Linked DNA regions of Xenopus tropicalis. The protein of the gene in region 1 interacts with the protein of each later gene in a pairwise test. Links are inferred from orthologs where the notes say so. Each region holds a gene or a part of one and is shown in the gene's direction. Other genes may lie near its edges. The genes, in order: lats2, rassf1 and map3k5.

Region 1 (4,265 bases):
CCAGCTTTCACATTTTCATCCCCTTGGACAGAAAGAACAACCAAACTGAGTTGATTATTCTCTGTTCACACATGAGAGATTATCTCAGCTGACCCACACATATGGAAGGTGCCTGCTTTATTGTGATACCTCAGAACAAATACCAGACTTTCCCAAAACTGAACGACTGGCCCATGCGTGTCAGCCTTCAGTCACCAAAAAGATTGCAACAGCTGCAGTGAAATGGAACTTCAGCAATGTCTTATCACAAGCATTACAGAGGCAATGTACACACAGTCTCAAGGTTAACAACTCCCTTATAGCCAAGCTGTAGCAGATATAGAGCATTTCGCCCATCAGGCAGCAAATAGTTAAACAACAAGAGTTTGTAGGATATCTTATCAACTAACTAACCTGCATTGTACAAGTGCACACAAGTGTAGGAACTACAATAGCCCATACAGTGGTGTCTGAAATTTTGCAAACCATTTTGCCCTAATACTAGATAATGAGAATCCCATTAAACAAATTAGTCAAAAACATAATGTGTGTTCATTTATCTCTTGAGAAAAAGGACCCTATGTTACATTTTGTGTAGGGCACAACTATGTGAACCTTTGTTTTTAATAAATGGTGTGCCCCCATTGGGCAGCAATGACTACCACTAAATATTTCCGAGAGCTGATGATCAGTCCTGCAAATCAGTTTTTGGGAATTTTAGCCCATTCCTGAAATCAGAACAACCTCAACTCAGGGATGTTGTCAGGCTTCCTCGCATAGACTGCCTGCTTCCGAATTTTCCACAACATTTCTACAGGATTAATATCAGGACTTTGACTTGGCTGTTCCAAAACATAAACTTTCTTCTGTTCATCCATTCTTTGGTGGACTTTGTTTTTAGGTTCAAATTTGCTGGTAGAATTCCTTTTTGCATAGCAGTGGTTTCTCCTTGCAACCCTGCCATGCACACCATTGTTTTGATAGTGGACCCATGAATATTGACATCGGCCAATGCCAGAGACTACTTTAGTTCATTATAGGCCATTTTTATTTCTTTAGATCTCCCAAAATGCTTGCTGTTGTTGTGACTTTTGTTTGCCACCATTTGTACATGACCTGCCTGACTGATGGAGTCCAAATTCTCTATAATTAGTTTTTCAACCTTTTCCAGCCTGAGCAATAACAAGTGATTTTTGGAGGTCCTCAGAAATCTTTTTTGTTTCAGCCATGATACATGTCTCTTGCATTGGCGGATTTGCAGGACTTCTACAAACTTTTGTTGCAAAGATCAGACTTGGATAGTGAGGAGCCGGATTTCCGTTATGTAATTAACGCCGGGCATCCCACGCTCAAACCTGATTATCATCCCATTGATTGAAACACCTGACTCTCATGCATTTGGCATTTGTAAGTGCATAAAAAATGTAAGTAACTAATTAATTGGGTGCAAGTTAGTTCCACGTGCAAGCAAACACGCCTGCAAGCACTATCTCCTCAAGGCAAGTGAGAGGTGGCAGAGGCTAGTACAAAGGGGTGTGTATTCAACAAAATACCTTTGTGGATTTCAATTTTGAGCTTTGACTTTATGTTTAGAAATGAGACCAGATTTTCACATACCTGTTAAATGGAAATAGTGAGCACATTAGGCATGAGATGGAAAGAGAACACACATAGACAAGACTAAATAGCCTCTTAGTGGGTTCTCTGACCAATGACCCCCTTGTAACAAAGTCTCTGACCAAGGAGCCTATGTAAGTTTACTACTCTGCACTGGGCCCCTCTGAAGGTTTTTGCAGGGGGGTTGGGGGCAGCACAGAGTAGTTACACCACTGCATGTGGTGCTCCAAAGGATTTTTATGGTCCCCAGGCTCCATAGACTTCACTTCACATAGACTCTACCAGATATAATTGGCCCACTACTTGTAATAAGACAGCACTGCCTTAGAGGGTCATATAATTAGTCCAAACAGTGTATAGAGTGATATTATAGCTGCTGGCAGGGGAGAGGGGGGGTTACTAAGCAAAGCCATATAGCAACCTGTTTTTTCAGAGGGCACTGAGACGCGTCATTACAATAACAAGATAGCCACAGGGAGCTATTATGATAGTTTACAGTCCATATGGATAGGTGTGACAGCATTGGGGTAGAAAGGGTTAATGTACTCAATTAAGGATGCTGGGGGTGGTAAAGAGATACTGACACCAAAAAATTAACCCCTTTTTACATCTATCATAGCATTGTCTGTATGTTAGTTATAATTTTAGCTTTCCAATTGGTCCTTATTTATTTTTTATACTTTTTAAATGATGTGCCTTCTTCTGACTCTTTCTAACTTTCAAATGGGGGTCACTGACCCCAGCAGTTACTTTTTATTACTTATTTTTCTGTTTAGGTCCATCTTCTATAAACATATTAGTCTCTGGTCAAACCACTCCTTGTGCTGCTCAGTAATTGAAACCCTAGCAGTGTCAGTATCACGTTAATAGATGGGCTGGCGCAAATGGGCTGTGAAGACGCTAAAGCTGAGGGTTGGAAGGGTTACAGAAGGCAGAATGGTGCTGTAGAGGTGAATGGTAGAAGGATAAAGCGCACAGCCATCAGGCGGCCTCTGTGGTAACTTTGAGAGCTCAGCACAGAACAAGTTAATCGCGCCACAGGCCGGAGAGAGGGAAAGCGAAGGATTCCCGGGGCCACGCCCCCTCACACACCGGCCAATCCCCGCTTCTCCACGTCGATGACGCAGGCAGGGGCTCCCACGTGACCGCAATGGAATGCAAACAATGCGGCGGGCGCCCAAGTCCAACCCGCTACATTCTATCGGCGGCGGCGGCGGGGACGGGCGGAGAGCGGAACCGTCTGTTGGCTTGCACCGAGCGGAACTCCGGTAAACTGACTAGTGCTAGAGCTGCGGGTGTTGGGGGGAGGGCGCTGGGGTCCGGGGGAACAAGCTAATGACACGTATTGTCCGTGCGCGTCCGACCCCGAATGTTCCCTCAGGAGCAGTGACAGCATGGCCCTAGCCCCCGCCAAGGCTCCCTACCACTTCCCTACCCTATGCCCTGTGCTTTGCAACTTTTCCATTGGGCTTCATAGTGAATTGTTATAGTTCTGACACTATTTACCCCTCTGCCTCCATGTGCTTGGGTTAGTTAGTTAGGGGTCTCAGACCCTAGCAACCACAAATATCTGTTGCTCTGTGAGGCTACACCGTTATTGGTACTTATATCTCTGTTTGAAGCCGGCCATCCAAGTTCAGATTTTAGCCTTCTTCTGATGAACGTTTAGATATCGATCGTATGTTTAAATGCAACGAACTAATGTTAGGGCTGAAATTGTAAGTTAAAGCCCTAAAAATATCAAATCAGAGGAATTTCTGAACATGAAATAGTTGTCAGACACCAATGGTAGGAAAGTGACCCCCCCCCAAGCGCGCCGTCACATACACCCCAAGCGCGCCGTCACATACACCCCAAGCGCGCCGTCACATACACCCCAAGCGCGCCGTCACATACACCCCAAGCGCGCCGTCACATACACCCCAAGCGCGCCGTCACATACACCCCAAGCGCGCCGTCACATACACCCCAAGCGCGCCGTCACATACACCCCAAGCGCGCCGTCACATACACCCCAAGCGCGCCGTCACATACACCCCAAGCGCGCCGTCACATACTCCCCAAGCGCGCCGTCACATACACCCCAAGCACTAACATTTTCTAACCTGTCCAATCGACTAAACGACTGATCACCTCGGTATTATTGGGATCATTTGGAGCCCACATACAGTCCAAAAATCAAACTACATTTACGCTTATATCACTGCATTATGGGCAGCTTTAGCCTTTCCTCTTCCACTCTGTCATTCACACCACTGCCTGGTTGCTAAGGCAAATTGGAGCCTAGCAACCAGATAGCTTCTAAAAATTCAAATCTGGAAAGCTGCTGAAGAAAAAGGTAAATAGCAAAAAAAAAAGGACCAATTGCAAATTATCTCTGCATATCACCATCTATGTTAGTGATGCCCAACCAGTGGTATTGCTCACCATCTCCTTTGTTGTTCCCAGTCTCCAGTGCCCATTTTAAAATCTCTGGCTTGGAGACAAGTTTTGGAAGCACAGTCACAGTTTTTTCCCAAGCAGAACCCCCTATCTCTGCATTACAATATGTATTCTTGCACCATGTTGTGCCACACAAGTTTTTTTGTTTGTGCAGCCTCAAAGGGCAAGGTCCTTTAAATAGTGAGAAGGATAGCTGCATGGCAGGGCTGCTGCTTTTTTTTCCAGGT
Region 2 (2,772 bases), on another chromosome or scaffold:
CCGCATTTCCTTCCTCTCGGCCTTCCGGGACTTGCTGTTCCCAGGACTTGGAACAAGAACACTCCCCACCTTATCCCAAACCCTGCAGGTCTGGGTAGGAGCAGGCTTCTCATAAAGTACCGGATGAGCCCTTCTCCAGCCTCTTTCCTCCCCTTCGCTCCCCACCTTTCCAGTACCAGCCTGATGCAACGCTGACTAAACTGGGAGATTTAGGGAGGGAGGGGAGGGAGACAGGAGGAGGACATCATAGACAAACCGATTACAGGAATAAGTGCAAAGAGGAAGTCACAGCTCCATTTTGTCTTTAGTGCCTTTGTAGGATAGTTATTTGCCTCTGGATGTGGTTTTACAAGGCAGAATTAATGAGCCAGTAATGCACCCACAGCTTCTACAGGGTCTGCTTGGAGCCAGATGTTTTCATTAGGCATGCCTAGGGCTAGTTTATATATTAGAGAGAGCAAGATTGTTGCAATATACATGCAGGCCCTTTGTCTGACTGAGGCAGATGGATCTTACTCCTTTTTGAGTGTATTTTAACATTCATCCTATAGGCCACTGCCACTTCTGGGCTGAGGTACAAAATGGGCCATGGCATTTCATGGGCAGAAAGGTCCAAACAGCCCCACACAAGCCCAATACTAAGCACCAATCTGTGGCAACTCACAGCAGCCCCACAGGGGCTTTTGGGTAAAGAGTAACAAAACCTGCCTGATGTCTAGCGCCCTGATTGCTCTGAGCTTTCAACGTGGCCATAGATTACAAGATCTTGCCAAACAAGGGGATCTTTCCCCAATATGCCCACCTAAGGTGGGTGATATTGGGCTAATTAGATTGTTTGGCTATAGGCCAGAGATAGGAGCAGTCGGAGCGAGGAACACATCAATGAGCCAACGCAGTCCCCAGTCTGTCTAAAAAATCAAACTTTGCCGATCAACACCTGGCCAATTTTTAACCAGATATTGATCGGGAAGGGCTGTCGGGGGTCCCCAGATATGCTGCCAAATCGGTCTAAAGGACTCGAATCTGCAGTTCAAATCTGCCTGTGTATGGCACCTTAAGAAAAGACGTATTACTAACTAGAAAGGAAGCTGAGTCACATGAGAAACAGGAAATGAACATCTGCGTTTTGGTGCCAAAAGTGATTATTTTTCAAGATTTTTCCAATTCTGCTCTGTTTTAAACAGTATTACACAATGTCTTCTATCACTTTTTTTTTCATCAATTTGTAGTTTTTATTTACTGGTATCAGTTCGGAATTGTTCTAGAGCACTGATCCACAGCAACCAGTCAGTCTAGTGCAGTTAGAATAATACATTGTCTGGTTGCTATGGGTTACTGTTCTGGTACAATTGGAACTGTCTTTGTAAATTATCCTTTTCAGTTTGTTCTTTGTGACCTAAAGGCATTTCTTCTGACCCTATTAGATGTTTGTTGCTTCTGTTTTTGTTCTAGTAAAGGGTAGCAGATGAGCCCCCAGGATATCACTGCTGGCTTAAAGAGGTTGTTCACCTTTAAATTAACTTTTAGTATCATGCAGAGAGTGCTATTTTGAGACAATTTGGAATTGGTTTTCATTTTTTATTATTTTCAGTTTTTGATTTATTTAGCTTTTTGTTCAGCAGCTCTCCAGTTTGGAAATTCAGGAGCTATCTGGTTGCTGGGGTCCAATTTAACCTGGTAGCCAGGCAGTGGTTTAGAGGAGAGACAGAAATATGAATAGGGAAGAGCCTAAATAGAAAGACAAGTCATAGAAAGTAACAATAACAATAAAATTGTAGCCTCACAGAGCAATTGCTGTTGGCATCAGTGGCCCCCATTGGAAAGCTGGAAAAAGAGAAAGTCAAATCATTCAAAAACTTTAACAAATAAAAAATGAAGACTAACTGAAAAGTTTCCAAGAAAGGACCATTCTGTAACATACTACAAGTTAACTACCTTTTTAATGGAAATTCCGTTGGGCTCCTTCGCTCACTGCAGCACAGCTATTTGCCTGCCTGTAGTGCAAGGCTGTGCTGCCTCTCCATTTGCAGGTAGATTTGTGTTGTGGGGAAGGTGCTGCTCTATTGAAATCAGTTTTTCTGACTTTTGACCCTCCCTAATCCTTAAGCTTAAGGTTTTCAACATTAAATGGTTTATGTAATATGTGGTTTCTTTTTCTTACAGGACGAAAAGCCAGAAAAGCAGCCGCAGGCCCTGAGCAAGGCAGAGCTAGAACAGAAAATAAAGGCTTATAATTCTCAGATAAAGAGCAATCTCTTCATGAGTCTGGTACGTTATGAGTAATGCACAGACAGAATCCTCTCCTGTCTGTGATGCTGGTATGTGTGAATTCAGTAAGCACTCAGGGCAGGAATATTGTATTACTTGGCCCTCACATTTATTGGCTTTCACCAGTCACGTTTTGTAGTTTGAGTGCTCCGTAAGCCCCTCCAAGATGTTGCCTCCCTTTGTTCACTATGACCCCATTATAATTTATGTACCTTGAGCCCCTCTCTCTGTGTGACCGTATGTGTGACGAAGGGAAACCCTTTCCATTACAGAATCACTTGTGACACATATTGTATGGCTACTAAGAGAAGATTATACCTTGACAGACTGGTGACTGGGAGAAGAATGGATTGGCAAATAATATAACTGAGCAGGTCGCATTAGTCTTTGTTAACATATAACTGACAAAGATAAGCCATGACATGGCTGTGTGGCTATAGACTAATTGAGCTTGCCTGCAGGAGCCTGTGTGACAGTATGACTGACCGAATCCCTTTCCAGTCT
Region 3 (3,657 bases), on another chromosome or scaffold:
AGCCTTGCAGTCACAAGCAAAGACAGATTTCAGTTCCCTTTCAGGTCGACCTAGCTGCTCATTGGTTCCTATCGTACAGTGCATTGTGCTGAGTGCTGCCAACTCCCCTGCAAAGCCTGGCAAAGGAGGCAGCAAGAAGTGGCACAGATGGGTGTGACTAGTAGGGTTTTGGGGGAATTTAAGTCCGAAACACAACTTTTTAAACCACATTCCTTCAACATTTAGAATAGTGTAATGCACTGGCACATACTTGTTTTTCATACAATATGTCTGCTTTAACAATGACTTTTTTTTCAGTTCGACTATGAGTATGATGAAAATGGGGACAGAGTGGTTCTCGGTAAAGGGAAACATGGAGTGGTATATGCAGGAAGAGACTTGAGTAACCAGGTCAGAATTGCAATTAAAGAAGTTCCAGAGAGAGATGGTCGGTAAGTACAGGATTTTGTATATGTGAGCCAGCTGACTGTTTAAATATATATATTGTATATGTGTGTGTATGTATTGTGTATATTTCAAAAAGGCTACTATATTTGACTACTTTTAAATATTCCTTTATATGCCCATCTTTCATGGACAGTTATTCAAAAAGTTCTAATTATTCTCTTTAGATGCTCTCAACCACTTCATGAAGAGATTGCTTTGCATAAACGTCTAAAGCATAAAAACATTGTTCAGTATTTGGGATCATTCAGTAAAGGTGGTTTCATTAAAATATTTATGGAACAAGTACCTGGAGGTATGTTTTTTTACACCCTTTCTTAAAAACTTACCCATTAATACTGTTAACTCTTTCTTGGCTATCAAGATATGTTGTTGGTTCAGTTCCTTTTTTGTCTTTCTCCACAGATGTCAATGTATAAAAAATAAGTAATTACACATCAAGCTGTATTTGTCCTTTTCATTTCTAGAAGGTCCAAGTTTTGTACCCCTTTTACTAGTTTATAATTGTTATAACATTTGCATTGGTTTAAATCCACATACTTCACCTCTGCCATAAATTTCTAACTTGCAGGTGACTGTTAAAATCGAATTGATTATTGGTTGCTATGGGCAACATCACGGGTGATGTTAGCTTACATACTATAATAAATATGCCCCTTAATCTTAATGGCTATTACCTGTGTAGTAAATTCTGTACATCTGTAGCTCATGCTTGTAGTTTCTATTAACTAAAGGTCCATATCAACATTTCCCTGAAAATACCAAGACAATGCCACAAAATGCCTTTGTAGGAATGACCTTGGTTACACTGAATACATGCCATTCTCTCCAAACACAATAAGAAATAATAACCAAAGCAATTTTTTATTTTTTCATGTCTAGGTGTGGATGTACATTGACGTGAATATGTCCCACCACGATTGTTTGAATAAGGAATCTTTTTTTTAATTTCTTTAACTTAAGCTCTAGCCTTGGTAACTCAGATCACACATTCTGATTGGGGGGGGGGGGGGGGAGTAGTTCTTATGAATTCTTGTTGGAAGGGGGAGCAGGAGAAGGGAGAGAGGAGTGAACTGCACAGATTCCGGCCCCAGGAATGAAGGATTTTTCTAAAAGAGAAAGTCTGACACAGAAGAACATGTGTACACAAAAAAAAGACAAGACATCCTGTATTTCTTTTGATTGAGGACTCCGTGCAGTTTTTCTATGAGTGCTTATAGCTGTATTTACATAAACCTTTCTTATAAAGCTTAATTTGGTTAATTACAGGAAGCCTCTCCGCACTTCTAAGGTCAAAATGGGGACCCTTGAAAGACAATGAGCAGACAATCGGATTTTATACCAAACAGATCCTTGAAGGTTTGAAATATCTCCATGATAACCAGATAGTTCATAGAGATATCAAGGTATGTGCAGTTATGTATGCAATATCATATCTTGTGTGAAGAGAAAAACTGTAGGTAGTTGTGACGGTTGTGACAGATTGCTTTCTATTGTTAAGAATGACTTGGGCCTGGGCATGTACTATAGCTGTCCTTTGTGTGCCCATTTACACCCACACACTACCCCACGTGAATCCTTCATGCATACCCTGTGCCTCAATACCAGCTCTTTGCTTCCTACTCTATACCCCTTTTGCCCCTTAACATGTTTTAATTTTCAACCATGTATACTCTGCCTCGTGCATTACCTTTGCCACACACCCTGTACACTTTTTGCTCCCATTATTTCTGTACACCATCTTCCTGTATCCTGTGCACCATGTGTATCCTGCATGAATCTTTTGTGTATCCATTTTTCATGTGCATATTTTGTTTCTACCCTTGTGTACATTTTGAATTCTGTGTGCCATGTGCACCCTCTTCCCCCCTGTACATCTTTGCCCCCTATACTTTGTATTCTATGTACACCATTTCTCTCATCTACTCTGTGCTTTATTATAGAAATTTCAACCCCAAATCCTGTGACCTATGTACACCTGTTGTATCTACCCTTTACCTCAAAGTTTTGCTGCCTGTGCAAGATATCTAATTTTGCCTTCCATCATGTCTGTGTGCTTTCTTGCCCTTTGTACATCCAATATGCTGCCTAGTGCACCTTTGACTTTCAAACTTTTTTGCCCTTCCTGTTTGAACCTTTCCCACAGTCACATGTGCAACTTATGCACCTGTACACCTTCCGTCCCAGTATCTTTTACAGCCTCATATTATATGACCCATGTGAAACCATATTCACCACATGCAATTTTGCCTTTCACCATGTGTTTGTTGTGTACACTATGCCTCTTTTACATCAAATGCTTCATGTCAATCTTTTGACGTGTCCATTTTCATCCTATTTACCATATGCCCTATACTTTGTGCCCCACTCTGTGGTTTACTTGTAATTTATTGTTAAACTTGTGCCTCTTGTGTATTGTATATAGCTTATTATTTAACAATAAATTCCATTTTAAACTGTAAACTTATCAAAAACATGGTTAGGTTTGTCTATGAAGATTTTCATTCATCCATGTCATGGTATATCTAGTATAAATAAATCTAATGCAACTGGACTCGTTAGGTAATCAATTCAATGATTACCTAACAAGTCCAGTTGCTTTAGATTTGTTTATACTAGATATGGTTAGGTTTATTAGCACATACCCCAGACCTTACAGTTTGGGGAGCACATATCCAGCAGAATTTAAAAAAAAAACAGACACACTGGAACTCTTTATAGAAAAAAGGGCATACATTGTATTTTTAAAATGGTCAAATACAAAGAAACAGCCATACGTGTTTTGTGTCTTAAAGTGGGCCTTAATTATCATGTCAAACAACCTTTTCTTACTTGCTTTAATGATGTGCCGGTCAGTGAATGTTGCACATGATGTGGTCATCTTGGATTTTTAAAAACCTCTAAGTACAATACCACAAAAATGTTTGCTTTCTAAACTCAAGTCTGTTGACCTTAGAAGTGTTATTCAGATGGATCAGGCACTGGATAACTATTAAGTTCAGAGAAGATATGTCATTGTTACATTCTCTAATTGGACAAGGGTTCTAAGTGGTGTTCTGTACTGAATTCCTTCTCAAGACTAGTAATATGGATATGTACCAGAAGCACTTGTCTAGACTTTAACTATTTTTGGAAAAATTGGCAGTTGAGATTGCATATTGATAAATTCAAGAATGGAATTTTAAAATATGCCGGCTACTATTAATGGTGCTA

Evidence for each region.
Region 2: the proteins of lats2 (region 1) and rassf1 come close enough for resonance energy transfer, tested with the Homo sapiens proteins (2 studies listed by BioGRID). The link is inferred for Xenopus tropicalis from reciprocal best matches to the Homo sapiens genes LATS2 and RASSF1.
Region 3: the proteins of lats2 (region 1) and map3k5 come close enough for resonance energy transfer, tested with the Homo sapiens proteins (2 studies listed by BioGRID, with this or other methods). The link is inferred for Xenopus tropicalis from reciprocal best matches to the Homo sapiens genes LATS2 and MAP3K5.

The regions. Positions count from the first base shown.
Region 1 is NC_030678.2:157,780,632-157,784,896, forward strand, and holds the start of lats2 (serine/threonine-protein kinase LATS2), read left to right. Parts: upstream 1-1,444; 5' UTR 1,445-1,512; intron 1,513-2,543; exon of another isoform or gene 2,544-2,864; intron 2,865-4,265. UniProt on the Homo sapiens protein: Negative regulator of YAP1 in the Hippo signaling pathway that plays a pivotal role in organ size control and tumor suppression by restricting proliferation and promoting apoptosis.
Region 2 is NC_030680.2:127,213,921-127,216,692, reverse strand, and holds part of rassf1 (ras association domain-containing protein 1), read left to right. Parts: intron 1-2,163; coding exon 2,164-2,268; intron 2,269-2,772. UniProt on the Homo sapiens protein: Potential tumor suppressor. Required for death receptor-dependent apoptosis. Mediates activation of STK3/MST2 and STK4/MST1 during Fas-induced apoptosis by preventing their dephosphorylation.
Region 3 is NC_030681.2:58,924,772-58,928,428, reverse strand, and holds part of map3k5 (mitogen-activated protein kinase kinase kinase 5), read left to right. Parts: intron 1-297; coding exon 298-431; intron 432-611; coding exon 612-739; intron 740-1,713; coding exon 1,714-1,850; intron 1,851-3,657. UniProt on the Homo sapiens protein: Serine/threonine kinase which acts as an essential component of the MAP kinase signal transduction pathway. Plays an important role in the cascades of cellular responses evoked by changes in the environment.